2 linked regions of the Caenorhabditis elegans genome follow. The protein of the gene in region 2 purifies or fractionates together with the protein of the main gene of each other region. This does not show direct contact. Each region holds a gene or a part of one and is shown on either strand. Other genes may lie near its edges.

Region 1 (14,896 bases), 3.7 Mb from region 2:
ATTTCTTGAAAGATGGAAACCGTCTTTCCCAGCCACCAAACTGCTCTCAAGACTTGTATCAAGAGCTTCTGAGATGTTGGATGGCGGATCCAAAGTCTCGTCCTGGTTTTGAAATATTATATGAAAGATTTAAAGAATTCTGTAAGGTTCCCCAACTTTTCCTGGAAAATTCCAACAAGATTTCTGAATCTGATTTGTCAGCTGAAGAACGTTTTCAAACGGAAAGAATCCGAGAAATGTTTGATGGAAATATCGATCCACAGATGTACTTTGATCAAGGAAGTTTACCAAGTATGCCAAGTTCTCCAACTTCTATGGCAACGGTAAGCATTTTTAATTAGTTTTTTTTTTCGAATATCAAATAATATTTTTACAGTTCACAATTCCACATGGTGATCTGATGAATCGAATGCAATCAGTAAACTCATCTAGGTACAAAACGGAGCCTTTTGATTGTAAGTTATTCTAATTTCCTTTTTTCAATTTTTATAATTATTTTGCATTTTAGATGGGTCAACCGCACAGGAAGATAATTCATATCTTATTCCAAAAACCAAAGAAGTTCAGCAGTCAGCAGTTTTGTATACAGCTGTTACAAATGAAGATGGTCAAACCGGTTAGCTTCAACGTTGAATAAAAATCTTTAAACTCTAAGCTCTCTAAAACACCTTCTAAACTTTGAAAATTCTGCTGGAAAATTGCTATGATATTTCCAAAATGTAGCTGTAAGTTTATGAGATTGTCATAATTCTAAATAATTGTTGCAAGATCAACACCAATAATAAGAACATTTTGAGGATGGGCTTTAAGACTGTATACTAATTTACATGCCCGTTTGATATACATATTATTTTTATTTTCACCCAACTTTTTTTCCCAACAAATTTTCACCCAACGCATTAAAAAAGTTACTTTTAAAATAATAAATTTTCAGAGCTATCCCCATCAAATGGCGATTACTACAACCAACCAAACACTCCTTCATCTTCCTCTGGATATTACAATGAACCACATCTCAAAACTAAAAAACCTGAAACATCAGAAGAGGCTGAAGCAGTTCAATATGAAAATGAAGAAGTATCACAAAAGGAAACTTGTCTTTAACTTTTCGAACATCCCATTTCAGAACATTTTTTGTCATTCCCGTTGCCATTCATCTCATACAATTTGCCATCATGCATAATTAGAATTATTTAATCAAAAATCTCATTTTCTTTGTATTTTTTAATGTTGTTGGATGATTCATTCACAAAATTCCCAAAAATTTCGAGCTTTATTCTGAAAACATTATCCATATTCCACAATGCATTTTTTCATCGGGTCTTCGTTGTCTTGTACAGCTAAAAATAAATAAATAAATCTTTGTTGCTCTCCAAAAATTGTTTTCCTTTTTGTTGATTGTGCCCATTTTTCCGCTGCCCTTCTTCACAAAATTTCTTGTTTACACACCAAAAAACCGCAACTTTTGACAATTATTCTCGCTTATTTTGGGATGAGCGAAGAGCAATATCTCTTTTCTCGATTTGCTCCATTGAGCACAATATGGGTTGTTGATGACGTGGCACTAATGGATTTGGTCGCTGGAATTTCTGATAGTTGAAAAAATACTCCATTCAAAAATATTCTCGATTAGACTTTTTACGAAAAGTTGTGCCTTTTTTCTTCTTCTGTTGCTTTCAAGACAATCTCTCCAATTTTTCATAAAAATACTCAAAACTACGAAACAACACTCTAGAAACACAAGAAAAAGTGAGTGGCGGGCTGTTGTGGCGCAGCTTAAACTAGGATTAAATAGAGGGGTTCCATTTTTGCAACAAAAAGGGTACAGAGCTTTGTTTTTCGCATTCTTCTCGAGTGGCTCACACTCACATGATTCAGAACTTCCTGTTCAAAAAATTGAAAAAAAGACCTCATCGGTGTTTGAAACTTTTTGGAATCTTCTGAAAGTACGCTTCTGGTTCACTCAATTTAACTTTCAGTCGGCCTGTTTGTATAACGCTAAGTATAGTGGCTCTCATTTCTGAAATCTTCCTTTTGTCAGAAAAAAGTTGGATAACAATGACATTCTTCATCAAGACAGTCACAGGAAAAGTCTGAAGTTTCAGACTGAAAAAGTTGAATTCTTTGAAAACCACATCACCTGCGAAGTCTTACTCAGTATTTTCCGTTCGAAACCAATTTCCTTTCATACAAAGAATCTTTCACTCAGTCACCACGCACCGAATTGTTCCTTCCTTCCTTCCTGAATACAAAGTTTTGTCCCGCTCCTACCCATTAGTAGGGCTCTTTAATTTATGCCCCTCCTTCTTCTACTTCTACGCCTTCTTTTCCTTCATCTACCACAAGTACTCTGTCAAAGAAGCATAGAGCTTCCATCTTTTGTTGTCTCTTCCATCATTTTTCCCTTTCTTTTCCATTTTTTGGTGCTCTGCTTTCCGTGCTCTCCATGGAACAAACTCTTTTGCGACAAGTTTATCACTTTGAAATGGATTTTGGAAAACCCCTTCTATTCCATGGTCTTCAAAGGGCCACTATTGTTGGTCAGAGTGCGAAGGCGTCGGGGATTGGACCCCATGGGGATATCGGAAGAGATTGACAGGCAAGCATCGGAATATCTTCTTTGCTTACAATTATACTATTGTGCTCTCTTAAATCGACTTTTAATGGTTTCCTGATAAAATAACGTTATAACGTTTTGTGGATTTTTCTGCTAGTTTCAAATAAAATTTCTGAAAAATAGATTAAAATCCTGAAGGACCATAACCATAGTTTTTTATAACCATAGGTTAGTTTCAGATGGGTCTTGATCTACCGTAACCTTACAAATTATTTCGATTTCTAGCAGAAAAATAATTTATTATTCAAAAGAAGCAACAATTATCTAATTCAAGTGTTCCTTTTTTTGTAAAACCTGACATTTCCGTGTTCTAATTGATGTTTTCCGCAAGGTCCTAGCAATCTGGAAAAACAAAAAACGCACACATTCACAACTGCACAAAAAAATAATTCCTGATTCTTCTCATTTTTTCTCTAAATCTCTCAATTTGTTACTATATATCGTGCTCGCTCAATGTGACTCAAATCAAACTCTATTATGGTGTCGTTGTTGTAGAAAAGAGATGTGCACACACACACACACATACATCTTTTTTCTTGCTCTACTCCCGCGCGACGTGTCCAATTTCAGATCTGAATCTCTTGGGGAATCTCTCCACTCTTCTCCTTTTTTTGAGATGAGCTCATTGTGTTGTGAGCCCCCAAAAACTTTTTTACGAGGTCTCAATGACAATGGAAATTCAGAAGTTTTAATATAAAAATGTTTTCGTTTCAATTCAATTCCGTTGTAGTAGGTGTCGCCTAAAAATTTTGTAGAAATTCTTTGCGGAGGCCCTTGTGGAAATGTGAAAAAAGTAGGTAACAATTCAATTTCCTAAGATTCTAGATTTAGAATCAAATAATTCAACGAAATGAAGAAAGCTGACTAGGTATGTCAAAAACCGAAGAGCACAATTCTCCAACTTTTTGCGGCCGAAAAACAGAAAAAAGGATATTTTGAACTTTCAAGCAAAAAGTTATGGAGTACTGTAGACCGTCATATACATATTAACTAACCTTACACATTTTTCACAAATTCGTTTAAAACTTTATTCTATTGCATAGCTCTTTGAGCTGTAAACTGTCTATCAAATCGAACATTTTCTGATGAATTCCTATAAATTTTAAATGAATTCATTTAAATTCTGCTTTTTGTGTTTATTTCTTCTTTCTTCCCAAGATGACGGAAAACGAATTCATTAGAAAACTCAAAGTTTGCCTCAAATTGTGTAATTTTTTTTGAAAACATCATAAAAGCGAATACATAAAAATAAAATCTGAAATTCCCTTTTCGATTTTTTGCTCTTTTGTGTTGCTCATTGTGCAAAATTTGAATTTCTTCAACTTGACAAACCAAGAGTTATTTTTTCGGAGGTTCATTCTTCGTCAAAGCTTATAACTCCCCGAGGACAATTTCTTTGAGATTTACCCGTTCTCATCTATCTTTCTACAATCTAAATGTTCAAAAATTTCCAAAAGTTCAAGTTTAAAAGTTATAGAAGTACAACAAGACGGCAAATTTTCATTCATCACTTTTCCTTATAATTCGCGTCCTCTAAATTGCTTGAATTGCACCTCTCCGCCCCGCCAAAACTCATCAATTTTCCCTTCCTTCCGGTTTTCCTTTTTTCTCCTCTTTTTCTTCCCTCTTTTGCCGTTTTGTTTTTCTTAAACCACAAACAAATACTATTTTAAACGTTTTTCAAAATTTGCTTTTGATTAGAAAGTTTGAATATTATAGAAAAAGTTTATAAATTTAACAGATTGAAGTTTTAATAGAAGAAAGTTGGTCAAAAAGTTGGCAAAAGGATTTGCCAGAAAATGGCCAACAATTGTTGAGTTGCCAATGAAAATTACAAAAGTTTGTTCACTACTTATTTCCCCCAGCACTCATTGAACTCTGACTAACTCTAATACTTTTTTCTTGAAATCGTCTCAATCTTCAGATCATGAATTGGTGTGAATAATGGCTGGTACTGTGGACGCTCAAGAGCACGTGGCAAAACCACGCCGTCCGAATATATTCCGAGTGTTACGAAGGACGGGATACGGGAAATGTCTTGTTTGTTCGTTGCTTCTGATACTTTGTTTCTTTTATGCAACATTTTGTCATGTCAAACATGAAGCTTATTCCGGAAGTCAACCATTGCTCATGTAAGTTTAATTTTGATTTTTTCCTATTTTGGACAAATTTCGAAAATGTAGCATATGGAAAAAATAAAGATGAAAACGGTAGAAATTGACTCCGCCTATATCTTGGCTTGATTTTGAATCACTCTAAAATGTTTTAGATTTTTTAATACTCTCCTTTTGACAAATGTTTTGACAAATTGCTTGCCTAATTTTCAAAAATTCAAATTTTGCGGAAAGTTCAGAGCATGTTCGAAGATCCACAATGTCTCAATGAAAATCATTAAAACATAATTATAATAAAAACTCGTAGAACACATTTGACTTGCATTTAGGAGTAATTTTGAACAATCTCCCACTGGAGCTACCGTTACCTTTCATAATATAACTGTGTAGAACAAATTTAGATATTTATCTCACTTCTGAACACTTCTTTTTATAGATATCAACACGGACCATGTGCACAAGGATATAACTTTGTTCCAATTGTATTTGGTCTTATGCTATATATAGTATACTTGATGGAGTGTTGGCACAGTCGAACAAAAATAATAAATATGAAAAAAGTTCGTGTTGAAGATGCTCTTGACTATATAACTGCTCTACGAACATCTCCACCAATTGTATGGTGGAAAAGTGTTTGTTATCACTATACGAGGAAGACAAGACAGGTTACAAGATACCGGAATGGTGATGCTGTTTCGGCTACACAAGTATATTATGAGAGAATGAATTCACATCAAGCTGGAAGTATGTTCATATATGATACTTGCGGATTTAGGGTGAGTACTGTGTCAAAAACATTTCCATTTATATAATTTGTTTCAGGACATTTCAAAATCAATATTAGAAGTTGAAAAGTTCCACGTCACACGAATTCGTCTTTCGCGAAGTTTTGTATTTGCGAACATGCAGGCTGCAACTGAGTTCGAGCAACAAAGATCCAGATTTTTCAATGATAACGAGACAAAAGATGATTATATGGAAGTACGAGAAGGAATGGATTTATCGGATGTTGGATTTGTAGAGGAAATACTTGCCTTCAATAAGCCTACACCACCATGGTTCCTACATCCCATTGTTTTTTGGTTTTTCTCAATTTTCGTGTTATCATGGCCATTGAGAATCTATACAGAATGGAGGACAGCGGTGCTATCGTTTCAAGTGATTAAGCTTTTCGGAACCAATTATTTGAGGTAGGAATATTGGATATAAAATATTTGAAAAAAGAAACCAAAAAAGATTCCGTCGAGCCGGATTCGAACCAGCGACCTAAGGATAACCACTGACTCTACAGTCCTCCGCTCTACCAACTGAGCTATCGACTGCACGCCGTTTTCCTCTGTTGAGAGAAAAGACCTGGCGGGAACAGAAAGTGTCAGTCATATAGAGCATTTTCATATGCGAAGTGTATAAAATTTATATTTCTACAAGAAGTTGCCTAAAATAGCCACAAAAATAGTGTTTTCGAATTTTCTTCAATAAAGGGATGTGGCTCAAAAACGTTGAGTTCCATCAATCATTAGGCATTTGGCAGGAAGAAAAGATTAGCTACAGCAAAAAAAGATAGAAAAGTAGTATAAGTATTTATTTTTCAAATACATTTTCCAGTCCGAATTCGGTCAACTACACGGGGCCATTAACCAGAACATCAACTATGGATACTGTTGAGTTGGAGGCATTGTTGAGGAGAGAACAACATTTCGTTGTACCATCGTACAGTGAAGTTATGCTCATGCAAAATACGATTGCTAATTCAAATGTAAGGTTTTTTTTAAATATTAAAATTTTAAGATCATTTGCTCCTGATAAATATTTATTAATCGCTCTGATAATATTGTAGACCAATTATCCAAATATTCGATGCCTGGACCCTGTGATTCTTCCACGACCATTCGTGAGTACAACTAACGAACATATCGTACTTCGGAACTATGGAGCAACAGAAACCGACAATTCACTATCTGAGCCCATTACAGCAACGCCGAGACCTCTTAGAGTTAGCCGAAGTATGACATTTGCTGCTCAAGGAAATCTCGAAGAATCAGCTGAGAATCTGAGTTGTTTAGAAAACGGAAGTAGAGCAAATCGTGCTATTCCATCGAGTCGGCGGAATTTGCCGTTACGTTCGTTATCGATAGGTGGTATTTCTGCTTGGTCCAATGGTTACAGAGAAATTGGAAATCCTGATGATTCACAACTACTCATTGAACCAGATGAACCACCTCCACCATATGAGGTCGGTTTTCAATTTATAATGGAAATGACAATTTATTTCTCAGGTTGCTCTCAGAATGTGTGCTCCATTATATGAACGCCTACGACGATCAATATCTTCACGATTGGCTTCAATTTCTCACTCGAGCTCGAAGGATTTGAAGTCGCTAACTTTGAAAAGTAGTTCTAGTAACAATAATAACAATAATTCAAACAACAATAATAACGATGATCCAGAACATCCATAAAATCGGGTATTTTTTCACATGCGGACCAATTTTAAGAATTGTTAAACGTTGGTGCTTGAAATAAATAATTTTTCTGATTTTTTTTTATTTTCAAGTTTAAAAAAATTGTGTTTCAAGTTATTCGATTAAAAGCGTTGTTTTTATTGCCTTATTAAATGGTAAAAAGCAATCAATTTTTAAAGGAGCGTCCACTGAATACGAGGAGATGGTCTCGGCACGAAATATAAAAAACTACAGTACCCTTGGAAGTATTGGCGCGGAAATTTTTTTTTATTCAGTTATTTATCTGTTCAGTTTTCGTATTTTTGATGTTAAAACTCCATTTTTCTCTTCAAAATTTGTATTAAAAATCACTGGGCAACGCATTTTCACTATTACAGAAGTATTTTTGATGAAATCTTCAAGAAATTCACATGTTTCTTTGTTTAAAATTTTAGGATTTGACGGTTTCGGTTTTTAGGCCAAAAAACTCCGTTACCAGTTTTAATTTCGTTCTGATTCCGTGAGGCAATGCTTCACTAATCACATTTTTCACGAAATACAAAGTCTTGCTTGAAAATTTAACAAAAAACTCCAATACTCTCGCAAAATCTTGAATATGGCCATTTTATTTGATGTAATTATTTCTTTTACAGATAAATACTTCAAACCAACCAATCCATCTATCTGACAAGCTAATGTCCAGAGATAAACCACCTCAACGTGAGGTTGGCGGACGTCGGTTGCCCTACGAAATGGGTTCGTTGAAGTTCGACGAAGACCCGTTCCGCGGACAGCGCCGGCGTCCGTGGATGTGCTTCAGAATCGGCTATCCGACAAGCGAGTTCTCATCAGAGCACTTCATGTACGTTCAAATTATTCAAAAATTATTGAAAAAACGTATTGTTTCAGGAAATTCGTGAAAAGGTGTCACACTTCGATGATAGAAGTAGGTATTCTTCTCGATGATGAACGGGAATTCCTGCAATATCAAGAAGTCAGGGAAGATTATCTTCTTCTGAAAAAGCTCATCGAGGAAGGTCTGCAGAAGTGTGAAACGATCTATGAAAAAGGACCGCTGTCGACTCCGGTTGTTTTTTTCATTTTAGACCAGTGCGGTAAGAAAAGTAAATTATACATAACGTGTATAAATATTCACTCATACAGACGAAGACGAAGTCCAAAACATGCTGGATATGTTTAGGGAGTCTTGTTATATCTTCCATATGAAACGCAACGAAATTCTCAACTGGATCAACGAAATGGAGTATGAAGAACTGGAGTGAGTAAATGTTCAGCATAACGTCGAAAAAATTCATATTTCAGAAGTGACTGCTCTAAATTTGCACAGTTCATCAAAGGAGTGGAAAATCTGACGGAATCCATCGCGATGCCCATGGAGGTAGAAACAGAGTAGGCTATCTAGAAGGAAAAAATAATTAAAAAACATCTAACTTTCATAGAGAATTCATCTTTGGAAAGAGTTCGATTGTATCGACCGAAGACTTTGTTGAAGACGCCCCTCACAAGCAGATCGCACAAGATCAACGCGAAACAAGGTATCGTTACCATGTTGTAAACTTTCTATTCAAAAATTTTGCAATATCTCTTCGTTCATATTAGACTTATGGCCTAGCTATTTCTTTCTTTTTCCACACGTCCAACATAGATAGACAGTTCGAGACGTAGAGAAAAACAGAAAAACCGTGACTAGTTGCTTCCCCTGTGATTGATATGCTTTTTTTTCACAAATTCGAAAAAAATAATCTGAATAAGCATGTTTTCACATCAGAATTTGTTAAACAGTGTGTTTGGAAATACTGAAATATTCCCTTGACTCGCAGGATTTAACGAATAATTATTTCAAAATTTTCGATTGTTTTTCTCAATAACATCAATAATTTTTCCTGAATTCCTGATATTGCTTTTAAAAATATATAATAGAATTGGTGACCTTTGTTAAATCATTGATAATCGCAGTGGCTTTTGTTTTTATTCTCGTTTCATAAACAACGTGAATCGTGGTAGCGGAAAAAAAACCACATTTATCGTGTTCCCATCTTTCCCCAGAAACCTGGCCGCGTTCCTTTTCACTGTAGTAAACGCGGATTTTTGTGGGCATACTGATTTCGTTAGAAAATACTTTTTCTTAAAATGCTAGAGCTCTCCGCGTTCTCTCATAATGTATAATTAAATTATCTTGTTTCAGACCAATTCGCCAACCGTATTCAATGGTCAGAAACCTCGCCCCCCCAGGGCTCCCGCCGCCTGGAATTTCGATTTCAAACAGTTCGCCTCCTGGATTATCTTCAGTTTCGCCAATTCCCCGAGCAGATACACGCGAATCCCGTTATTCCACCCCTCAACCACCCGGATTGTCAATTCCAGCACCACCTGGAATATCTCTTCCAACTCCACCAGGAATATCTCTTCAAAATCATCAGAATGATCAATTCGAGCAAGCTCATAGTACCATTTCGAGAATGAGCGAGAATAGTTCATCTTCGAGGCGTCGATTCCGCGATGAAGAAGTTCAGGAAGAAGAAGGAGATCATATTCTATCGTCTGAAGATGTACATGCTGCGCGGAACGTGTGTGAAACCAAAATCCTTGTTAGAGGAGTTCCGCAAAAGAACGATTCTGAGTTGGTAAGATCTATTCATTTTTGTGATAAACTGCAACCTGTGAGTTATTTCGGCAATTTCCGGAAAACTAATCTTCAATAAACACGAAATTAATATTAAAATTTTAATTTTCAGTCCAAGCTCATCAACGGATCAAAACTATACGTACGGTTCGAACGTCCGTTTGTAAAACTAGCTCACAATCTAGAACTTCTCTACGTTGTCAATTATGCTATCAGTTCTCGAAAAAGTATTGTTCGGGATCACAGTAAAGCAATTATTCGCGGATTGTTCGAAAAGGATTTTCTACTGAAGCTCAAAAGTAAATTCCTGGAAAGCTCGTTTGACAATGACACGTGGACTCCCGAGGGTACAGAATTGCTATTCGAAATCTTTCATTTGTTTTTCACAACGGCTCGATACAAGGGTGGATTCATGCTGACACTTCCGAGATTTGTAAGTTGAAATAAACTGAAAATTTTAAAAGTAAACATTATTATAGGCGCCGTCTTGGCATGATTTCTCGATGGCTTTCGATATTGCTGACATGGATGGACTTGAGGAAGCTGGTGTGGGTGATGATGAGCTTAGAAATCTTAGGAGGCTGATTGGTTACATTGAAACATGGATCAAACGGGCAGAACGGGAACGAAACCCCAGTCCATTGGCGCTGCGGTCATATTCAGTGTACGAAAAAGCTGGTTCTTCTGACAGTGGACGCCAAGTTTTATCTGAAAGTCGAGGTGCAGGTTCCAGCAATGTTTATGGTCATGACGAGGTGGATTTCGTCGATCACAGACGCAGAGACGAGTTCGGACATCGTGATAACTACCGGACAGAAAACCGTCGCCATAAAAGCCCGGACAATTTTGGAGAAGTTCACAGAAGGCTCGATGAGCAACAACAACAACGACATGAGGATGAATCATCAAGATATCGCGATGACTCGAGACAGTCTCGACGAGCAGATGATAGAAGAGATCAATATCAGTACAACGAATCAACATCTATGGAAAATCACTTGGGGTTTCACAACGGCGGTGGCACCGTCAGTGAGCACTCACGAGATGATAAATTCGTTTCGCCTCAAAATTGTGAAGAAAAACGCAAATATTGCGAAGAGGACACAGATGCGAAACCACAACAACCATATCGCTTTGAGGAGATAAAATTCGAACCAATTTGGGTGAAATGTGAAAAATCAGAACCGCCAGAGGATTTTAAGGTAAAAAAGTGCAAGCTATCAAGGCATAATTGTTTTTTTTTCAGACGTTGCCTTCTGTTCCTGTTTTGTCCGAGTATGTTAATCCAGTAGAGCCCTATCTCCGTCGGATCCAAGATGATGGAAAATACAAGTCTGTTCATCACTACCTTGATGTCCAATTTCGTCTACTGAAGGAGGACTTAGTGAGCCCACTTCGAGACGGAATTGATTTGTACAAAAAGAATGGAACTTGTAAAGGACGTAGAATTGAAGGAGCGCCTTGTTCGGATATCTCAATTTTCAATGTCGAAAAGGTTGACGGAAAACAGGTTACTGAACGTGATGGATATGAAATGAGAATCATATGGCCAGCACAATACGATATTTTAAAGTTACTCGATAACGATCGTGAGATGAAGGAGTTGGGATTAGTGATGCTTTCGTGTGATAGATTTAAAGAAGACTTTCATCTAGGACACATTCAATCATCATATTTGATGAGAAATGGCTCACTTCATTTTGCTGTCCATGAGGAAACGTCGCCTTTCAAACCGAACACAACATATCAAATGGCGCAAGGAACATCATATCTGCCGTGTTACAAGCATGTTCTTGAGAACTTGAAACGTATCAGCTCATTCAAACCACTCCCCTTCGAAAGATATCTTGTCCATGGTAGTAAGATCATTTTTCGGCCAAACTTTCAACAAGCTGAGAAAAGCGAGTATCAGATTTCCGAGGAGAAGAAGTTGATGAAAACCTATAATGAACTTCGTTCTCTAGCAGCATGTGCACGATATACGAAAGGAAAGCCTATTCCTCGAGGAGTTGACGATGATGACGAAGATTATGAATTTAGCAAGTCTCGTGAACTGTCAAAAGAGGATATCGATCTCGAATATAGACAACTGCAAGAGCCGATTTTCAGGCCTCTCGTAGGAGTTGATATAAAAGGTTAGCGTCCTACAGAACAAATTTTAACTCCTCTGACTTTAATTTTTAAATTATAATGATGTAATTATACTCTTGTCATTTTCAGATAGCAATCTAATCCAAATCAACAAGAAATGGTATAACGTGTCCCGCCTTCTTGACGAATTCCACCCCGATTATATGGATGAAAGCCAGAGATTAGCATTTTGCAACACATTCAAATACGAGCTTTCGTTGATTCAAGGACCACCAGGAACTGGAAAAACGCATATTGGAGTTCAAATTGTGAAGACTATTCTCCAGAATCGTTCATATTGGAAAATCACCGAACCAATCTTGGTGGTTTGTTTCACCAACTCCGGTCTAGACAATTTGTTGGAAAGAATCTATCAAATGATTGAAAACGATGAAGAACTTTCGAAAGATAATGGAAGGCCAAAGATTATACGGTTCGGAAGTAAATGTGATTCGAATTATCTTAAGCGACAGAATGTGATGAGGCAAGATGTCTATGAGCAGTACAAGTCAAAAGTGTCGGATGGTGCTCAAAAGAAAATGTCAAAGGCTGGTGCAGCTAGACGACATAAAGCTGACAATCTTGCGATTTCTAGTTACACTCTTTTCTGCTCTAGGAAGTAAGTCTTAGAACAAAAACTAGGATTTCGAAAGTTTCCTATTTAATTTAATGAAATCTTTTTTTACAGCAAGCTTCTGTCTTACGAAATGCTTTCTCGTGTGATGGACCCGAATCATCAGATGGAAATTCAACAATTTACATATGATCACGTCGACACCAAAGGAATTCCATTGAGTCCTGACGAAGCAATCGGTTGTTGGTTGTTAGAAAGAGATTTCGGAAAAGCCACGAAATCACAGACGAAGAAAGCGAAGAAACCGAAATTCCAAGGTGCACAACTAGATTCGGAAGACGAAAACAAAGACTATTTCACGGTTGAGGATAGCGATGATGAAGAAGATGAATTGGATGACGAAAAGCTCTTGGATAAACTTTTCGAAAAGATGAATGTAAGATACATGTCTCGATAAAAAGTTATTATCTAAATATTTTAGCTCGAATGCTCTGGAGCCGACATCTTGAGTGCCGTCCACGCTTCCCACGCCGATGAGTATTATACCAAAGGACCCTGGGAGATTGTGCAAGACAAGCGACCAAGTGTGGTTGTTTTGATGGAGAAGAAAACGAAACCGGTTAGTAAAACCTATACTTAATATGGAAATTATCTAATTTATATTGATCTTTCAGTGTAACGCAAAGTTCACCGTTGATGAGCAAATCAACAATTTGGTCTCCGAAATCAAGGACATGATTTTATCAAGCCAACCAGTTCCAAAGAAGGATTTGAACGATATCAAGTACATTTTCAGTCTCGCCCGTTTGAAACGGTGGTCTTTGTATATTACCTGGTGTGATGCCTTGGTACGATAATCTTGTCAATTTTTTTGTTACAACGAATTTTTCAGAGATCGATTGTCACGGAAAATCTTCCCAGACAGATTCGGGAGTACCGAGAAGCTTGTGAAAACTTCAAAAATGCTCAGAATAGAGTGGATGCAGAGATCATGAGAATGACAATGATCATCGGAGCGACGACAACCGGTTGTTCACGTCTTCGCCCTACTCTCGAGAAAGTTGGACCACGGATTCTCATTGTGGAAGAAGCGGCGGAAGTGCTCGAAGCTCATATTATTTCGGCAATGATTTCAACTGTCGAGCATGTTGTGATGATTGGAGATCATAAACAATTACGTCCAAATCCAGCTGTACATGAATTGGGAGTTGCGTACGGATTAAGAATTTCCATGTTCGAAAGACTTGTGGAGCGTGGTTTGCCTTTTTCACAGCTCCGTCAACAACATCGTATGAATTTAACCATTTCTGATAAAATCGTCAAACTATCATTTTATGATAAGTGAGTTTAATTTTAACAATATAATTTATGCTAATTCGACTTTTTTCAGTGTTACCGATGCGGAAAATGTTGGTCTTTATCCAGATGTTCAAGGAATGGCTACCAACCTATTCTTCTGGTCTCACACAAGTATGGAAGAAAGTCCAGATGAAGTATCTTGGCTGAACAAACACGAGATTTCCATGACAGTTGCGCTTGTGAAACACCTGTTAAAGCAGAACTATACCACCAATGATGTCAGTTCTTGACTGAATAGGATTCATAATTTTACTAATTTGTTTTCAGATTGTTGTTTTGGCCACATATTCAGCTCAGAAGAATTTGATGTATCGTGAATATGCAAATGTTTTCGGATCAACACCGGACTCAAATGTCATTCCAGTCGAAACTGTTGACAGCTTCCAAGGAAAGGTTAGTAATATCACTCAATACTAATCTAGGTTATCAGCTGATGGAGGCATTTTAGTGAGATTTAAAAATGTGATGTTTCAGGAACGAAAAATTGTTATTGTGTCCCTGGTTAGATCACATCGTGGTGGAAGAGAAAACACTGGAATCGGATTTCTGGCTGTTGCCAATCGAATCTGTGTCGCATTGACTCGAGCACAACACGGAATGTATATCATTGGAAATGGCGCATACATTATGAATAATTCTGAGTTATGGAACAAAATCGTCAACAACTTGAGAAGAAGCAATCTGATTGAATACAACCTTCCACTCAAATGTGTGGCTCACGGAAACATTGTTACAGTTAAGGATCCGCAAGATTTCGCTACGAAATCACCAGAAGGTGGATGTATGCAGAAATGCGACACCAAGAAGTTCTGTGGACACGTATGCGAGCGTCTATGCCATCCCAATATGGAAGAAGAACATCTCCAACGATGCCTTTACAATTGCGACAAAAAATGTTCAAACCCGCAGTTTCAACATCGATGTAAAAAGGCATGCTATGAAGAATGTGGAAGTTGCTTGTACTTGGTGGAGGTTACATTGGATTGTGGGCATAGAATTACAACTCCATGCAGTCGA
Region 2 (15,946 bases):
TCTAACAATCCATTATTTTTTTTTTGGAAAAAAAATTAATAACATTTAAGAACATGCCAATTCTAGAAATAGGGCGTACATATGTGTACCAAAATGTGACTCACACTTTTGTCAAATCAAAAACTACACGAATACGCGATTTTCTTTTCTTCAAACATATACTTTCAATGCATATATCTCAGTTGTCGTTTGTCCTATACAAAAATAGTCGATTGGCAAAATATTTGTAATTTCTTTTTCTATATTTTTGCAGTTGAATATGTATTAATATCTGCAAAATGAAACAAGATAAAACCTTTTAAAGTGTAGAGTACTACGTAGTAGGGCATCTAAGATGAATACCTTCTAGTTTTATTTTAATTAAACGATGTGTATTATCAGTGCAAAGTCTAACTTAATCAAATAAAGGGATGGTGTTGTTATCAGTAGAACACACGTTTCGAACTATAATATGATATTTCAATATGGCAGTTTGAAAATAGTGTTTTGCAGTTTGGAGATGGACTGGTCGATAATCGGGGTTAATCTTCACATGGTACTTATTTGAAACTTTGAAGTTATAGACCAGGGGTAGGCGGGAAACGATTTTTTCCTGCAAATCGGCAAATCTGCAAATTGCCGGAATTGAAATTTCCGGCAAACCGGTAATTTTGCCAATTGCCAAAAATACAAATTTCCAGCAATCTACAATTTCGGCAATTGCCGGTTTTGGGAATTTTTGGTAAATGGCTATTTCGGCAATTGCCGGTTTTGGGAATTTCCGGCAACCGGCAATTTTTGGCAATTGCCGGTTTTCAAAACTTCCGGCAATCGGAAATTGCCAAAATTGCCAAAAATTCGCTTGCCGAATGGCAATCGCCGCGCACCACTGTTTGGCAAAATTTTCAGTTTTTTTGAACCTCTCACTATTTTCAGATGGTCTCTAAATATTTAAATTAACAAGATTGAAAAAAATTCAACAATTAACGATTTATTCAAATCCTTAAACATTTTCAAGCCCAAGAAACTTGGAAACAATTAGAAAAAAATTAACGTCGAACTCTCGAGAACCGCGACTCCAATCCACGACGTGACACGTTACATCCCATGTTCTGCAGAGCCAGCACGACTTCCATATGGCTTGAATGAGCAAACATATTTCAGCTGGGTGAAGCAGAAATGCTTAAAATGACTGATATGTGGGGTGGAGCTCTAATAATCCAGACTTGATATTACCCTGGAATACAGAAAACGATGTGACGCGGCTGAGAGATTTGTAGGTTTGGGATGTAGTTGGCTGCAAAATGAGAGGGAAGTCTGATAATTGGAGCAAACAATTTGAAAGCGAACATTTTAAAAGTGGAGTAGAGCCAGTGGGGAAAGTGTTAAAAACTACTCCAATTATGACAAAATGACCGAATATCAAAATAAAACTTTTCAAAAAGTTGTAGAAAATTTTTTATTTACTGTCAAAAAGTGACAATTACTCAGTTTTTGGCACTCATAATTTTGGAAGTCGACCAAAAAAAAAATTTTTTTTTCTACATTTCTTATACTTTAATTTTGTTTTAATAATATGTAGTAAAATATTTTAGGGGTCGAAACATGCGACATTGCTTTTGATTTCCTCAAAAGCTCATATTTTTCAAAATTGTTTTTTGGCAACTTTCCAAAACTTTGACCGGAAATTATGAAAAATGTAAAATTTTTTGTAGTGTTTTATTATGATATTCGGTCGTTTTAGATCATTATAAGTGTATTTAGACAAAATCCCCACTGGCGCTACTCCACTTTTAAGGAAAATGGTTTCTAAAGTTCCGCAGCTTCAGTCATTTCGGAAAGCCTTCCAGGTTGCAACTTTACTTTAAAAAGTTATATCTCGGTTTATTCTGTAAATATCATAAAATAATCAATTACAAAATTTAGAAAAATATCTAATAAAAATTTTGTCACTTGAAAATTTTTGAATGAAACAAACGACCACTGAGATATAAGCTGCCAAATGTGAGGTGCAATACTAATCAGTGGTGGCCAAATTGCCGGAAATTTTAATTTCGGTAAATTTGCCGATTTGCCGATTTGCCGAACATCAATTTGCCGGAAGTTTTTAGAGGGATTTTTATGTGCTTTTTTGAAATGTTTTCCCGTTTTTCTCTCGATATTTTGATGGAATTTGTTTACTTTTGAAAATAGCAGATGTAGGAACATTCATAGGATGCGTACAATTTTGCCGATTAAAATTGGAATTCTGAAATTTCTAAAAAAAATGTGCAAAATCGCAAGTTGCCGGTTTGCCGATTTGCCGGAAGATTTCAATTCCGGCAATTTGTCCCGATACTGTAATAGATACTGTAACCGAAAAATTGGCGAATTTTTTTACGTGAACCTTCAAACTTCCAAATTAAAAGAATTTTTGAAAAACCAAATAAAAATCGTAAACGTGAACTTCTGAATTACAAAAAAAGTTGGCAAAAAAAGTTCCAGTTCGGATTTGAAACGAATCAGTTCTCAATTTTAAAGCAGTGTGCTTGGTTGCGAGGAAGGATTAAGCAACGTCTTCACGATGAGCACCGACGGGAATAACAACAAGAAAGGATCGAAAGAAGGTAAACTTCAGGAAGTTGAATGTCATGCCCCGATGTTGGCGTCGATGTATGGGAGGCTCGAGCGCTGGTGTTTAAAGGCGCATGGGTCTCACCGCGACATGCTTTACAGCTTCTCATCCGGCTCGGCAAATCGGGGGATTGAAATCTGGTGGATTGTCCACGCCCTTAGAACTGGGCGGGGGTTTCAAGATTTGCAACCTCCGCACGGAAGGAAAGCCTTTCCTTTCACGGACAAATACATTTAGTTTTACAACTAAAAACGAGCCGCGACGCGACACGCAACGCGCCGTAAATCTACCCCAGATATGGCCGAGCCAAAATGGCCTAGTTCGGCCTAAACTCTTCCATTTCAATTTATGAGGGAAGTCAGAAATCCGTGTCCTTTTGCTCTAAAAACCACGTATTTTCGTACTTTCTAATAAAACCCCGTTTTCCAGGTCCAAAAACATCAGAGATATCAAAGTTCGATTTGGCCAAGGAGAACCCGAGATTAGCTGAATGGATGGACGACTGCATCAAGAGAATGAACAGTAAGACCTTACCTAGACAGAATACCGCCAACCTTCCAACCTTTCCAGGTCTCTACAAGGACACGAACATCAACATTTGCAATGTGATGACTGGACACGAGATCATTGCAATCATCCGGATGGTCGAGGCAATCTTCATGGACGAGAGCAATCTTTGTGAAGCCGAGGCTCCCATCAAAGTCATCGGAGACATACATGCCCAGTTCCAGGACATGAACCGCCTGTTCGACTTGATAGGGCGTGTTCCAGAGGAGAAGCTCATGTTCCTTGGAGACTACGTGGATCGTGGACCGCAAGGAATCGAAGTTCTGATCCTTCTCTTCTGCTTGAAGATCCGCTACAGGGATCGCATCTACTTGCTGCGTGGCAACCACGAAACGCCGTCGGTCAACAAGATCTATGGATTCTACGTGGAGTGTCAGTACAAGTACGGAGTCGGATTGTGGTGGGACTTCCAGACATGCTTCAATCGTATGCCAATGTCTGGATTGATCTCGAAGAGAGTGCTCTGTATGCACGGTGGACTCTCGCCGGAGCTCATCAATCTTGATACGATCAGGAATATTCCACGTCCGTGTGAGCCGCTGGATCGTGGTTTGCTTATTGATTTGCTGTGGTCGGATCCGACGAACAAGGGAGAAGGATGGTTCCATTCTATTCGAGGTTGAATAGCTTTGGGTCTCGCCACGAGAAGCACTAATTCCGGCATTTTGCCGATTTACCGGAAAATTTTGTTTTAGGCAAATTGCCGATTTGCCATTTTTCCAGCAAATTCGGCAAATCGACAATTTGACGGAAATTCTCGATTCCGGCAGTTTGCCGATTTACCGGAAAATGTTGTTTTAGGCAAATTGCCGATTTGCCATTTTTCCAGCAAATTCGGCAAATCGACAATTTGACGGAAATTCTCGATTCCGGCAGTTTGCCGATTTACCGGAAAATGTTGTTTTAGGCAAATTGCCGATTTGCCATTTTTCCAGCAAATTCGGCAAATCGACAATTTGACGGAAATTCTCGATTCCGGCAGTTTGCCGATTTACCGGAAAATGTTGTTTTAGGCAAATTGCCGATTTGCCATTTTTCCAGCAAATTCGGCAAATCGACAATTTTCCGGGAATTTTCAATTCCGGCAATTTTCCGAATTTGCCGATTTGCCGGAAAATTCGTTTGCCGCCCACCCCTACTTTTTCGCAATCTTTATTTTAAAATTTTCGGTCGTGTCGAGACCCTGTATCTTTCCTGAAAATTTCATTTTTTTTTCCAGGAATCAGCTACATGTTTGGCAAAGGAGTCGTCGAGCAAGCGTGTAAATCGCTGGAGATTGATCTGATCATTCGTGGCCATCAAGTCGTCCAAGATGGATACGAAATGATGGCTGGACGCCGTCTGATCACCGTCTTCTCGGTGCCAAACTACTGTGCCCAGTTCACCAACGCCGCCGCAGTGGTTTGCCTGAACGCCAACTTGCAGGTAATCTTAAATGACTCGAAGTCTAATAAAACCTTTAATTTCAGGTCTCGTTCCAACAGCTGATCCCACCACCACTTCCGGATGGCACCAAGGCCAAGGCAGCTCCAGCGATTGCAATCGACACGAATATTGAGGCGGCTCGTGCTGACAAAGAAGCCATCAAACCATATGTCAAGGAATAGTCAGGAATCAGGAAAAAGAGCCAATTTAGATTTCATGAATAAATCGTTTGATTTGAATTGTTTTTTGCGCAATTTCAAAGAAAATATTATATGTTACTATGCTGTTTATTTGAAACAAAAATAATTTTAAATTAAAAGTTCGAAATAGTCGTAATTTCTGGAAAGTCTGCCTAGAAGATCCAGTACATCTGAATGTGAAGCATAGTGATCAAACATGATGAAGAATATAAGTTGTAATAATATTTTAAAGAATATTTGACTTTCTTTCAGAGTTCTTTTATACTATTCCAATGCTTCAACACAACAAATCAACAATATGATTTTCTATTTGTCAATTAATGATTCTTTTGATATATATTTTAATGCCTGCAATTAAATGTCTCACTTATTTACGGGTCTACACGGGACAATTAAGCAAAGTTCGAGCACGCTGATGATATGGAAGAGATCACTACTGCTTATGCTGGAGATATCTGTACAACTTTTGGACTTGACTGCCAGAGAAACGTTCTCAACTGATCAGAATCTTGCTCCGCATTGTGTATGTTTTTTGGTGCTTTTTTGCCCTAATAATATTGAAACTTTAAGGAGCCAATACACATTCCGGAGCCAGCCATTTCTGTGGCACTCAAATCTGTTAACCGGAAAGATGCTGACAATTTTATCAAGGCATTGACGCGATTCACAAAGGAAGAACCAACATTCCGAATTAAATTAAAGGTGCAAATGTAAATAAATATATAGATTATGCCGAATTGATTGTTTATTGCCATATGAAATAGAAAAAAGTACAATTATTGCTGCTTGTAGTGGTGGTACATTCTGGTCAACTCGGGAGTGGCAACGGCAGCTTGACCAATAATGAAGTAGTCAAGAATTGTATCGAAAATGTATTGATAATCCTGAAATAGTTTTCATGTAAATCACTAGTGTGATGAAATGAATCATACCTGAATTTTCATATCATACAATAGCCCAATATTTCGAAGATTAATGCAGCAGTCGAATACGGATAGAGCGGTTTCCTAAATGATTACATTTGGGAACAAAATATGAATATTTCAAACTCACTGAGTGCAAAAGTGAATCCAACGTAGACAATATTGCTACCAGCATAGAGCACTTGGTGTCTTCATCGCGGGAAGCAATCATCAATCTCTTTTTGAAAACACCATTTTTTATGCATTCACGCGGCAATTAGAGAACATACCATAGCAGAAGTATCGAATAGTGGATTTTCATTGTCTTTCCAAGATCCAAGAGAAACGAACTCAACTGAAGATCGATTGATCCCACAAGCAACGTCAACACTATCAAAAAAAATCGTGGAATTCGCTGATGAAATCTCTGAGTGATTTTTGTTGATCAAATGCACATCGTTGAACTTCATTTGTGTGATCGCTTTCCAGGAACAAATGCCAAGTCGTTCACTCCATTTCCAATTTTCAGAACTGTTCCAATTTGCGATTGACACACATCGACCCAAAAGTCTCGATCATTGGGCGCATTTGGGCTTTTTCGAATGCAATACTTCCCTGGGTTGCTCGTGAATCCAACATAAGCTGTGTTTGCATTGGACCATCTGATGAGAAAATTTCCATTTTACTTATATACAAACTGTATTATTTACTTACAAAGAGCTACGAGATCCCCTCATAGAATTTAAAATATTATATTGAGCTCTTTGAGCTTCACGACCGCCGAGCATAATGCTCTTCACAAATTCACGAACCTGAACATCAATTATCATTCTGCAAATTAATTATCTCATCGACTAACTTGACATTATAAGCAGGTTTTGGATAGTTGTTTGTACTCGAAATAGGCTCCGTTATTGTGTCCCTTGTATTGATGATCTTTTCCGTAGTTGTGTGAGTCTCGCTTCTCAACAGTACCCCACCCTTCTTTCTGAAAATATAATATTCACTCAATTTTGTACTTGTATTTACAACGCCGCGAAACTCACTTCTTTTTTTTCAAAACACAATCACATGTTTGTAGAAAATTTAATTTCCGAAATAAACTTTTTATATTTTCCACACTGCCCTAGAACGGGGTTTACGTGACAATCCCTCCCTCTTCTTATCATTAGAGCTAAGTATCACTATTATAATTGCATGCCAAGCAGGGATGCAAATTTCTTGTTTCTTGATTTCTTGCATTTCTTGCTTCCATTTCTTGCAATATTTTTTTGCAAGAAAAGTGCAAGAAATTTTTTTTTGATTTTCAGGTTTATTTCGAGAAAAATCAGTACAAGATGGAGGAAGTTCTATGGAAATATAAAAATTTTATATAGGATTTTGGATAAAAAACGTTTAGAAAGCTGGAAAAATGTTTCAAATCGTTAAAAATTGGACATGGAAATTTGACAAATCGTAGAAATTTGGAAATTGCAATAATTTCATAGTTTTCGGCTGAAACTTACTTCCAGGAGTCGCCTATTAGGTTAAATCGTATTTATAATCGACTACTTTAACCTATATCTTAACATTTGAAAAAAGTTTAACTGTTTTCCATGTCTTGAAATTTCTTTCATTTTTTGCGCTTTTTCTTGCAATGTTTTATGCAAATTTCTTGTTTCTTGCAAAAAAAAATTTCTTGAACATCCCTGATGCCAAGCCGACCCGGAAAATTCAAAAATAGAACAAAAACCAATTTCGACGGCTATCAACTTTTATTAAGTTTTCAGTGCCTATATTAGTATTCAAAACTAAATTCTCGAAACATCTTCTGATGTTTCGAGAAGTTAGTACAAGAAAACAAATGAAAAAAAAAAAGAAAAAGGCCACAGAGCACACTTGTCAGCGTAATTTCAACGAGAAAAGAAATTGCGATGACAAGTTGCTGAAAAAAGGAAATATTTGACAAGGGAAGTGAATAACAGGGGACAATATAAGTATGATATAACAAGAATGGGCAATATTAATACATTGGGAAAACTATGCGGTTATAAACGTGGTGTAAGAGTAACAATGTGAAATGGTACAGGTGGGAAAGGGTTATTAGTTGTTCAAAAACAATTGCAATAGGGACAAGGAAATAATGGAACAGCAGGGAAGGGTTGAGGTGGTTAAAGAAACAAAGTTTGCCTTGTTGAAAGTGATCATGCGTTGACACGACGACCCGTGAGATCTCCGGACGCTTTGTAGCAGATGCTCTTGGTCAACTCCTTGAGACGATCTGCTTCCGGGCCAGAAACAGTTGGAACGTTGTTCAAGGCCCTGAAAACAAAAACATTTTTCCAAAGAATCCGCTAATGCAAAACTTACACTGCCTCGTTCCACAGATTGCGTCCTCTCTTGGCGTACTCGTTGGCGACGTACAATGGAGTTGGAAGCGACGTCGGAAGTCCAACGATCTGGTGAAGATGGCACAGCTTGTACGTGATATCCTCCAAAGCTGTCATGCTGACTTTGGCGTCATCGGCGAGAACTGTGTACAATGGAGTCTTCGCAGTTCCTTGCAGAGTGATGTGGGAATTCAGGAAAAACTGCTTGCAAGCCGGATTTGTCACGATGGAATCGACCAAAATACCGGGTGCAATATTCAGATCCCATGCTTTTGGGGCGGCTGGCATTGCAGAATGCCTGCTTGCGGTGCTGGAAGTCGCTTGTGGACGGGAAGCTAGACTTGCCTGAAAATATACAAAGTTATTTTGATGCAAAACTACTAACCAAATCGGGCTTGAAGAATCTGAAGCTGTGATCCTTTGACACCACAATGTATACAAGTTGAATATCAGGTGAGAAATCTCTCATAGCAGCACGAGCAAGAGGAATCTCGTAGGCCATGATTGATCCATGATTTCCCTCGCTTGTTCCTGTTCGGTAGACAATGACGCGTCTCGGAAGACCGCCATCATGAAACTTCTGGTATTCGTTGAGCGAGTGCATCACAATATCCTCAATCGGCGCAAGAGTCTGAAATCAAATCGGATGAGAATATTCTTAAATGGAAACTCACATCTTGGCTGGCAGAGTTTAACACGAAGTCTCCACTGAACTCCTGATTGTGCTGTGCATTGTACGCATAGCCGATGACATTGGGGTTTAGAACTCCTTTGTTCTCCATGGCATACTTGGTTCCAGCAGGTGGGGCGGAAATCCCAACTCCGATGATCAGATGAGAGTCGAGCTGCCTGAAGGAATAATAAATGAATATAAATTTCGCAAAAAAAAATCTGGTACTTCTTGGCGTCCACGAAAACATAGTTGGAACCTCCCAACTTCACATTGGTCTTGTTGATCACGTTCTCGAGAGTTAGCCTCTTTCCTGCATTGATAACACTCAACGCCTTGGATAGCTTCATGTCTTGAACGATCATCTTCGTATCCTTCTCAATCATTTTGTAACGCTCTGAAAGACGGAAATATGGACAAATATAATAAACAATGTAACATACGATGGAGTGTAGTGATTGAATCATCCGTTATGATGAAAACGAATGTGCAATTGGCTTTCGTTGCGTCGTACAGACGACTCTCGATGGCATCCATATGGATGAGCGAAATGTCAGCAGGAGCAGGCATGTTGACACCTTTTGACTTGCACATAGCCGCGAACTCATCTGCGAATTTCCTGAAACGAAAAAAATGAGATATGAAACTATATTGCCAGTCTTACTTCAGAGTATCCAAAGTTATGCGAGTTGATGCGGTACCGACAACATACATCGCCCACACATTCGGCGCCGTGGCTGGTCGAGTGAAGCGGTTGGCACGCCACTTGTTGTCCTTGACATTGATTGGATTGGCTCCAATTTCAGCGTTTGCCAACTTCACCGCAGGAATTGAGCGTCCTTTGACCATGAGCGGATCTTCGCACACCGAGACGCCCATTTTACCGAGAACCTCGTTGTCCGATGAGATTTGCGCCGCATTTTTTCCCGTCAAGATCAGACGCTGGCGAACGTCAGGTAAAACAGCACTTTCCTTCGTTGTCTTCTGACTCTGGGCACTGGTTAGCTGCGGGATCTGAACGCGTTGATGAGAGCTGATCTTCAACAATTCCATCGGGTAGAAGTTTATATTTCCTCTCTCCTTGGAAACGATGAGATTTGTGTCTGGATAGCGAAGAGTGATGTTGTATACGTCTTCGAAATATTGAGCTACAGTGCAGCTTCCACCGTCGTTGAGCTCGAAACGAGCATTTCGAGCCCCTTCGTGATGGATTCCCTCGATCTTGTGATGACGTTCACGACCGCCATATGTAGAATAGCAGTCGAGCCCTTTGATGACGGCTGCGCAGCGGTCCTTTTCGAGTCCCTTCAGGCCGTGTTCCACAGGCTGCGTAGTTATCTCCTTCAGTTTGTCGAGAATTGGCTGATTCTTATGGAAAGCGACCTTCATCCCTGAAAAACAAGAAATAACTATGATATTACTATTTTGAATACCAACCGTCAATGACAACTGATGGATTACTCCGTCCTCTGCCGTAGGGTCCTTCGATGAAGTTGATCGTCTTCTTGAGTCCTGGTACAACTTGCTTCCCATCCCCAACGTCCACAACGTCGCATTTCTCGAATCCTTCACCGAGTGGATCAATGAAAAACATTTTTCCATGATCGAAAACAACGTATCTCGCAGTGTTGCGAAGACATGGTTGAGTGAGAGCGAGTTCCAGGATCTGTTGGTAAGCCAAGCTGACAGAATCGAGGTTTGAGTCCGTTGCTCGTCTTGCTACGGCTTCTCGTGTGAACTTGACCGCTGGGTTTTTAGTCGGGAACACCTCCAGCTTAATACACGGCAACGATTTGAGATCCTTATGATCCATTTCTCCGCCATCAAGCTGCATGTACTTGGTCTGAAATATTCGGAATAACATTGGCCGAGATTTAATTTATTTACCTTTACTGCGCCTTCTCTGAACCCTTGGAAAAGATCCACGTTTGAGAACAGAATGCTTTGACCATCGTAGATGAGGCAGCTATCAGACGTTTTGAAGAACTCCTCATAGTCACCCAGCGCGCGGAACAGAATCGCACAGCACTTGTCGTGTCTCTCAGTAACGACGAAGCTGGAACATATTATGAGAAAAATATAAATCATGTGGTAAACTCACTCATCCTTCCCCTTCTTAGTGAAGGTAACTTCTTTCCCGTTTTTCAGCTCCGTCGTGATGTTCACGCTGTACTGATAGAACAACGAATCCTGGTGCATCTCGATTCCGAATACGTTGGTCTGTATTTCGGCCTCGACGCCACACTTTCCTGGTTCAGTAGGTGTTGGATAGAGCTTTGCAGCAGGAGCAATCTGAAATTTAACAAATTAGGTTTGAAAAAAAAATCAATTAAACTAAACGTACATTAAGCTCTTCCAGTCTCTTGATGCAAGCGTCGTTAGACGTTTGATACTCCGATCTTAACGGTTGAGTCGGAACTGGAACTGGTGGAACGGCAGGTGGTGCGTGGACGCTCGATGGAGCTCCAGAAGGCGTGTAGACTGGAGGAAGAGCTGGCATCCTTCTCGATTTTGTAACTATTACCTGTAAATTTAAAATTCAAGACGAAATAAGACTTAACGTATAGAAAAATGCGAAAAAAGCAACAAAAATACAACACAAAAACACAAAACGAGCATCAAAAACAAACATTTCCGCGAAAAAACGCGAAAAGAAAAAACGAAATTGAAAATCGCGGTCATCCTAAAATTCTGGGTTACTGTAGGTGACTTTCGCTGCGAGACCCGAGCACAACGACACTCCGCCTTAACGCAATGCGCCTTGTTTACCGTAAATCCACCCGAACAATTTATTTTTTCGAAGAGAACCTTTATTGAATTTTGCTTTTCTTTTTATAATTAAAACTCTAGAATTAAACAAAAATAGCTATTTTTAAGAGAAAAATTAAAAAAGTGCACTTGCGCTCTATTTTGCACTTCAAATACCCTCTTCATCAGGAGTCACATGAGATTGTTGCATTATTTCGAAATGTTCATATTTCTTCGTTTCGCCTCTATTTTTCCAGACCCGTGTTCAATTTCGTTATTTGAAATCTTAAAATTTCCTTCAATAATGCAATTAATTACAGGAACAATCAGGACAAGCAACGAGAAACAATGAAGGCGCCGGAGATTGTCGATCGTGAAGATTCACGTAATCATTATATTTTTTTCTATTGTTAACCTAATAAAAAAACAAAAATAACGAAATTTTGTTAACTTGATTTCTATATTTGGTTCCAAGAAACCTAGTTATTATCACTATTTGATATTTATTTCTCTTGTATTATTCTCTTCTAATGATTTCTTGATAGATGCAGTCTCGGAAGATGATCATGCGGAACATAGGGATTGCCAAGACGAAAAGGAACAGCAGATTATTGCATCATTCAACGCTCAGGATGCTCAACAGATTCGTCGTATTCAAGAGCACTTCCTTCAAGAATGCATGAAAAAGGAAACAGTAGCTGAAGCCAACGATTCTGGAAGAAATGACGTGTGTTGCCCACGAAAAAAGCTCACCGGAGTCGGCGAGCTTCTTGCGAGCCTCAGAAATCCGCCGAAAATTCATAAAGAACGAATCATTCTCGGCGGGGATGGAAGACCAATCAAAAAGCTTCGCGAAAACCGAGCTGCACTGAATTTCATCGATCCATCTGCCGAACTTGACAAGTGTATAGTTCGACAAAGTAAGGATTTCAGAAATTTGTCATTTAAAGGTGGAGTAGACTCGAAATTGTCTGAAAACACCGATTTATATAATGAAACTTGAAAACTTCCCAAAAACAAGTTATGACGGCTCAAAAAATGGCCTAAAAGTAGTTAAAACTTAAAATTTTACTTGTCAGCGCTGTCAGCTGGAAACAATTTTTGTTTTTGAAATCACCGTCAAATTTTGGGTATAAAATGTAATTATCTTGCGTTTTCAACACGATTTCGGTATTTTAAAGTCGATGGACCGCGAGATTTGGTTTAAAAAAATTTAAAAATCTCGCCGTTCATCGACTTTAAAATACCTAAATCAGAGTTAAAAACGAAAGATAATTACATAAAATACTCAAAATTTGACGGTGATTTCAAAAATATTAGTTTCCAGCTGGCAGCGCTGACAAGTCAAATTTCAAATTTTAACTAATTTTAGGCCAGTTTTTGAGCCGTCATAACTTTTTTTTGAGAAGTTTTCAAGAAGTTTCATCATGAAATTCGGTATTTTTAGGCAATTTTGAGTCCAATTTTGAACCAATATTTGGAAAAAAAGAAAATTTATAATTTTCAGAGCAGCAAGACTTTTGTGCTCCGGATCTCAACATGGTTCCTGCGTCCTCACTGAGCATCGATGAAATTCGAAATGCCGTCCGTAAAAGCATGTTCCGATGCAAAGTCTGCAAAAATCGTTTCGGTGAGATGAGCCTTCTCGAGCGACATCTCAGAGATTCCCACCCGAAAGCCTACATTGCATTTTTGGAAAATCAACGTGAAATGGCTGATTATATGGGTGAACTGGAGAGAGAGCGTAACCGAATCGAAGAGCTTGTGAGTGGCGGATTCATTCCTCCAGAGTCGGAAATTGAGGCGACATCGAACAATCTGGAAGTGGACTCGATCCCGTTGCCGGGTGAGAACAGTCAAGGACACATCCCACGACTGAATCGTTACGGAGGTCTCATGTACCCAATGGATGCGCTTAGAAAGAAATTTCCATATCTTAAGAAGGTAATAAACACGATGTCCTGGAGTGTTCATAATTACTGGAACGACACCTCACAAACTCCTGAATTCGTGGGAGCTCGATTAGCTGGGACAGCAGTTTTTGGCTATTGTTGGCCTATATAGAAACTCTTTCCGAATTTTTTTGATTCATAATTTTGTTGAGAGGAATCATACGAGTTGAAAATGTGTAAAATTATGAAATTTGGCCCAAAACTGAAGATTTTACAGAAAGGAGTCACTACAGTTTTTTAAAAAATGTATTAGAATCGTCAGTTTTTCGATTTCAGGTTCGAAAAATATGCCATTTTGTAGAGAAAAATCTGTTTGAAATTCTAATTCTTTAAAGGTGGAGTAGCGTCAGTGGGGAAATTGCTGTAAAACATGCCTATGGTACCACAATGACCGAATATCATGATAAAAAATTATTCTAAATTTTATATGATTTTTTGAAAATCGAAAAAATCTCAGTTTTTGCCTAATTCCTATTTAAATTACCGCCAATTGGATTTGTTCGATGGAGCGCGCTTGCACGTTTTTTAATTAATTTATTTTATTTTTTGTTATTTTCCACCGATTTTTAATGTTCTCGGTGTAATTTTGCTTGAATTTTAGAGAAAAAGTCAAAATAAAAGCTAATTTTCGATTGAAAAGCACGCTTACAGGCGTAAAAATGACAAAGTAACGATTTTGAACGATTTCGAACCTGAATTAATTAATTTCAATGATCTACGCCTGTAAGCGTGCTTTTTTAATCGAAAAGTTGCATGTATTTTGACTTTTTCTCTAAAATTCAAGCAAAAATACACCGAAAACATTAAAAATCGGTGGAAAATAACAAAAAATAAAATAAATAAATTTATAAACGTGCAAGCGCGCTCCATCGAACAAATCCAGTTGACGGTAATTCAAATAGGAATTAGGCAAAAACTGAGATTTTTCAATTTTCTAAAAATCATATAAAATTTCGATTTTTTAAAAGAATTTTTTAGTCATGATATTCGGTTGTTGTGATACCATAGGCGTACTTTAAAGCAATTTCCACTTTTAAAATAATTTCTTAAAAAGTCTAAATTAAACTTTTCCAGCGTTCCCCTCAATGCCCTTTCTGCGATAAACGATTCCGAAACGACATCTCATTCAACAACCACCTCACGAAGAAGCATCCAGAATGCGCCGAGTTCGTTCAATGTCTTCACTGCTTCAAGTGTCTTCCATCGGCCGCTGATCTTCCAACTCATGACTGTGATCTCACATATCTCTGTCTCGATTGTCGTCCGATCCGTAACATGTGCAATGGCTACCGTCTGTTCCGACACCGCACCAAGTTCCATCGTGGCTACCATTCCGGTTTCCGCTGCCCAGACTGCAATCAGAAGTTCTTGACGCCAAGAAAGCTGCGAAAGCATCGCAAAATGGCTCATGTCTTCTCGCGAACGTTCCAATGTCATTTCTGCGAGGAATTCTTCATTTCGGATACAGCTGTCACTATTCACGAGCGTGTTCACACCGGAATCCTGAAGTTTGAGTGCACGGTGTGCGACTTTAGAGCTAGCAGATATCTTCAGATGGAAGAGCATACGAAGGTAACAAATATTCTTGCGCGGAATTTTCAAAAAAGCATATAAATTTCTTTCAGGAACATCATGGCTACATGTGCTCCGTGTGCCAGCTCAAATGTCAACACTGGAACGATATCAAGGATCACATGTTGGCCGAGCACTCGTGCTATGTTACCGAAGAAGCTTCACAAGTCTACATCGAGTCTCCGCAAATCTGGCTCATGTACAAGGGAGAATAATTATATTGATATATGTATATCGCCTGTCTTCCCAATTTCTCCATCACCCCCCGTTCAATGACGATTTCACCCAGTTTTCCCACATTTTAATGTTTACAATAATATCGGTTACCAATTCCACTTGTTCTGATTTAACAATAAATACAACTGGGCGTATATGACCATTTTTGTTTAAAAAAAGCAAATCTTTTAAGCTATAAGGAAAATATAGACCGCGAAATCCAAAGAACTCACAAATTTTAATAGAAAGCAGAAACGAGTTTTATGAATTCTCGTTTACTCCGCTCGGACAATCATTTAATTTGGGAATTCTACGTATTTTATCATGATTTCTTCTGTTTTTCAGTGGAAAATTGATGGTTTAGAACATTAAAATATTTAATTTATTAAAAAAAAACGTCTTTTTATTTGTTTTAAGATTAAGAAACAGAAAAAAAAAACACAAATCCCGTGATAAAATACGAACAAAATCAATTTTTTCGAATTTTAGTAGATTTTTAGGCATTTACCAAAGAATATCGTGTTTTTCACGCTGTTTCTACTTTTAAACAAAATAAAATAGCTGAATTTCTTATAAATTAAAGATTTTATGTTCTAAATCATCAATTTTCAACTGAAAAACAGAAAAATGATGATAAAATACGAAGAATTGCCTAATTAAATGATTGTCCGAGTGGAGTACACGGCCGAGAATCCGCCAAACTCAATTCCGCGCGAAATTCAAATTAAATGG

What was found.
Region 1: the proteins of wago-4 (region 2) and znfx-1 purify together in Caenorhabditis elegans (affinity purification with western blotting, with the first as the bait; one study listed by BioGRID). This does not show direct contact.

What each region holds. Positions count from the first base shown.
Region 1 is NC_003280.10:9,205,835-9,220,730, forward strand, and holds the start of znfx-1 (NFX1-type zinc finger-containing protein 1 homolog), read left to right. Parts: upstream 1-7,867; coding exon 7,868-8,034; intron 8,035-8,081; coding exon 8,082-8,287; intron 8,288-8,336; coding exon 8,337-8,451; intron 8,452-8,495; coding exon 8,496-8,582; intron 8,583-8,632; coding exon 8,633-8,728; intron 8,729-9,378; coding exon 9,379-9,817; intron 9,818-9,928; coding exon 9,929-10,249; intron 10,250-10,295; coding exon 10,296-11,018; intron 11,019-11,062; coding exon 11,063-11,951; intron 11,952-12,036; coding exon 12,037-12,565; intron 12,566-12,634; coding exon 12,635-12,956; intron 12,957-13,001; coding exon 13,002-13,139; intron 13,140-13,194; coding exon 13,195-13,368; intron 13,369-13,412; coding exon 13,413-13,861; intron 13,862-13,910; coding exon 13,911-14,097; intron 14,098-14,146; coding exon 14,147-14,272; intron 14,273-14,353; coding exon 14,354-14,896. Other genes in the region: let-23 (receptor protein-tyrosine kinase), read left to right, coding at 1-323, 377-455, 509-616, 935-1,104; ZK1067.4 (Transmembrane protein 151 homolog), read left to right, coding at 4,562-4,749, 5,168-5,507, 5,554-5,921, 6,337-6,487, 6,569-6,964, 7,008-7,190. UniProt on the Caenorhabditis elegans protein: Epigenetic inheritance factor which, in association with the Argonaute protein wago-4, mediates small RNA-directed transgenerational epigenetic inheritance and thus balances the transgenerational inheritance of epigenetic information.
Region 2 is NC_003280.10:12,914,857-12,930,802, reverse strand, and holds wago-4 (Argonaute protein wago-4), read right to left. Parts: upstream 11,253-15,946; 5' UTR 11,227-11,252; coding exon 11,071-11,226; intron 11,019-11,070; coding exon 10,828-11,018; intron 10,783-10,827; coding exon 10,614-10,782; intron 10,570-10,613; coding exon 10,164-10,569; intron 10,118-10,163; coding exon 9,391-10,117; intron 9,346-9,390; coding exon 9,170-9,345; intron 9,124-9,169; coding exon 8,955-9,123; intron 8,906-8,954; coding exon 8,731-8,905; intron 8,688-8,730; coding exon 8,442-8,687; intron 8,402-8,441; coding exon 8,037-8,401; intron 7,989-8,036; coding exon 7,871-7,988; 3' UTR 7,426-7,870; downstream 1-7,425. Other genes in the region: F58G1.3 (Serine/threonine-protein phosphatase), read left to right, coding at 2,543-2,585, 3,023-3,115, 3,164-3,778, 4,380-4,585, 4,630-4,767; F58G1.8 (Elongation Factor G domain-containing protein), read left to right, coding at 5,201-5,308, 5,356-5,499; F58G1.2 (C2H2-type domain-containing protein), read left to right, coding at 11,823-11,859, 12,026-12,394, 12,982-13,418, 14,501-14,998, 15,052-15,213. UniProt on the Caenorhabditis elegans protein: Argonaute protein which is involved in the endogenous small interfering RNA (endo-siRNA) pathway and is required for RNA-mediated gene silencing (RNAi) in the germline.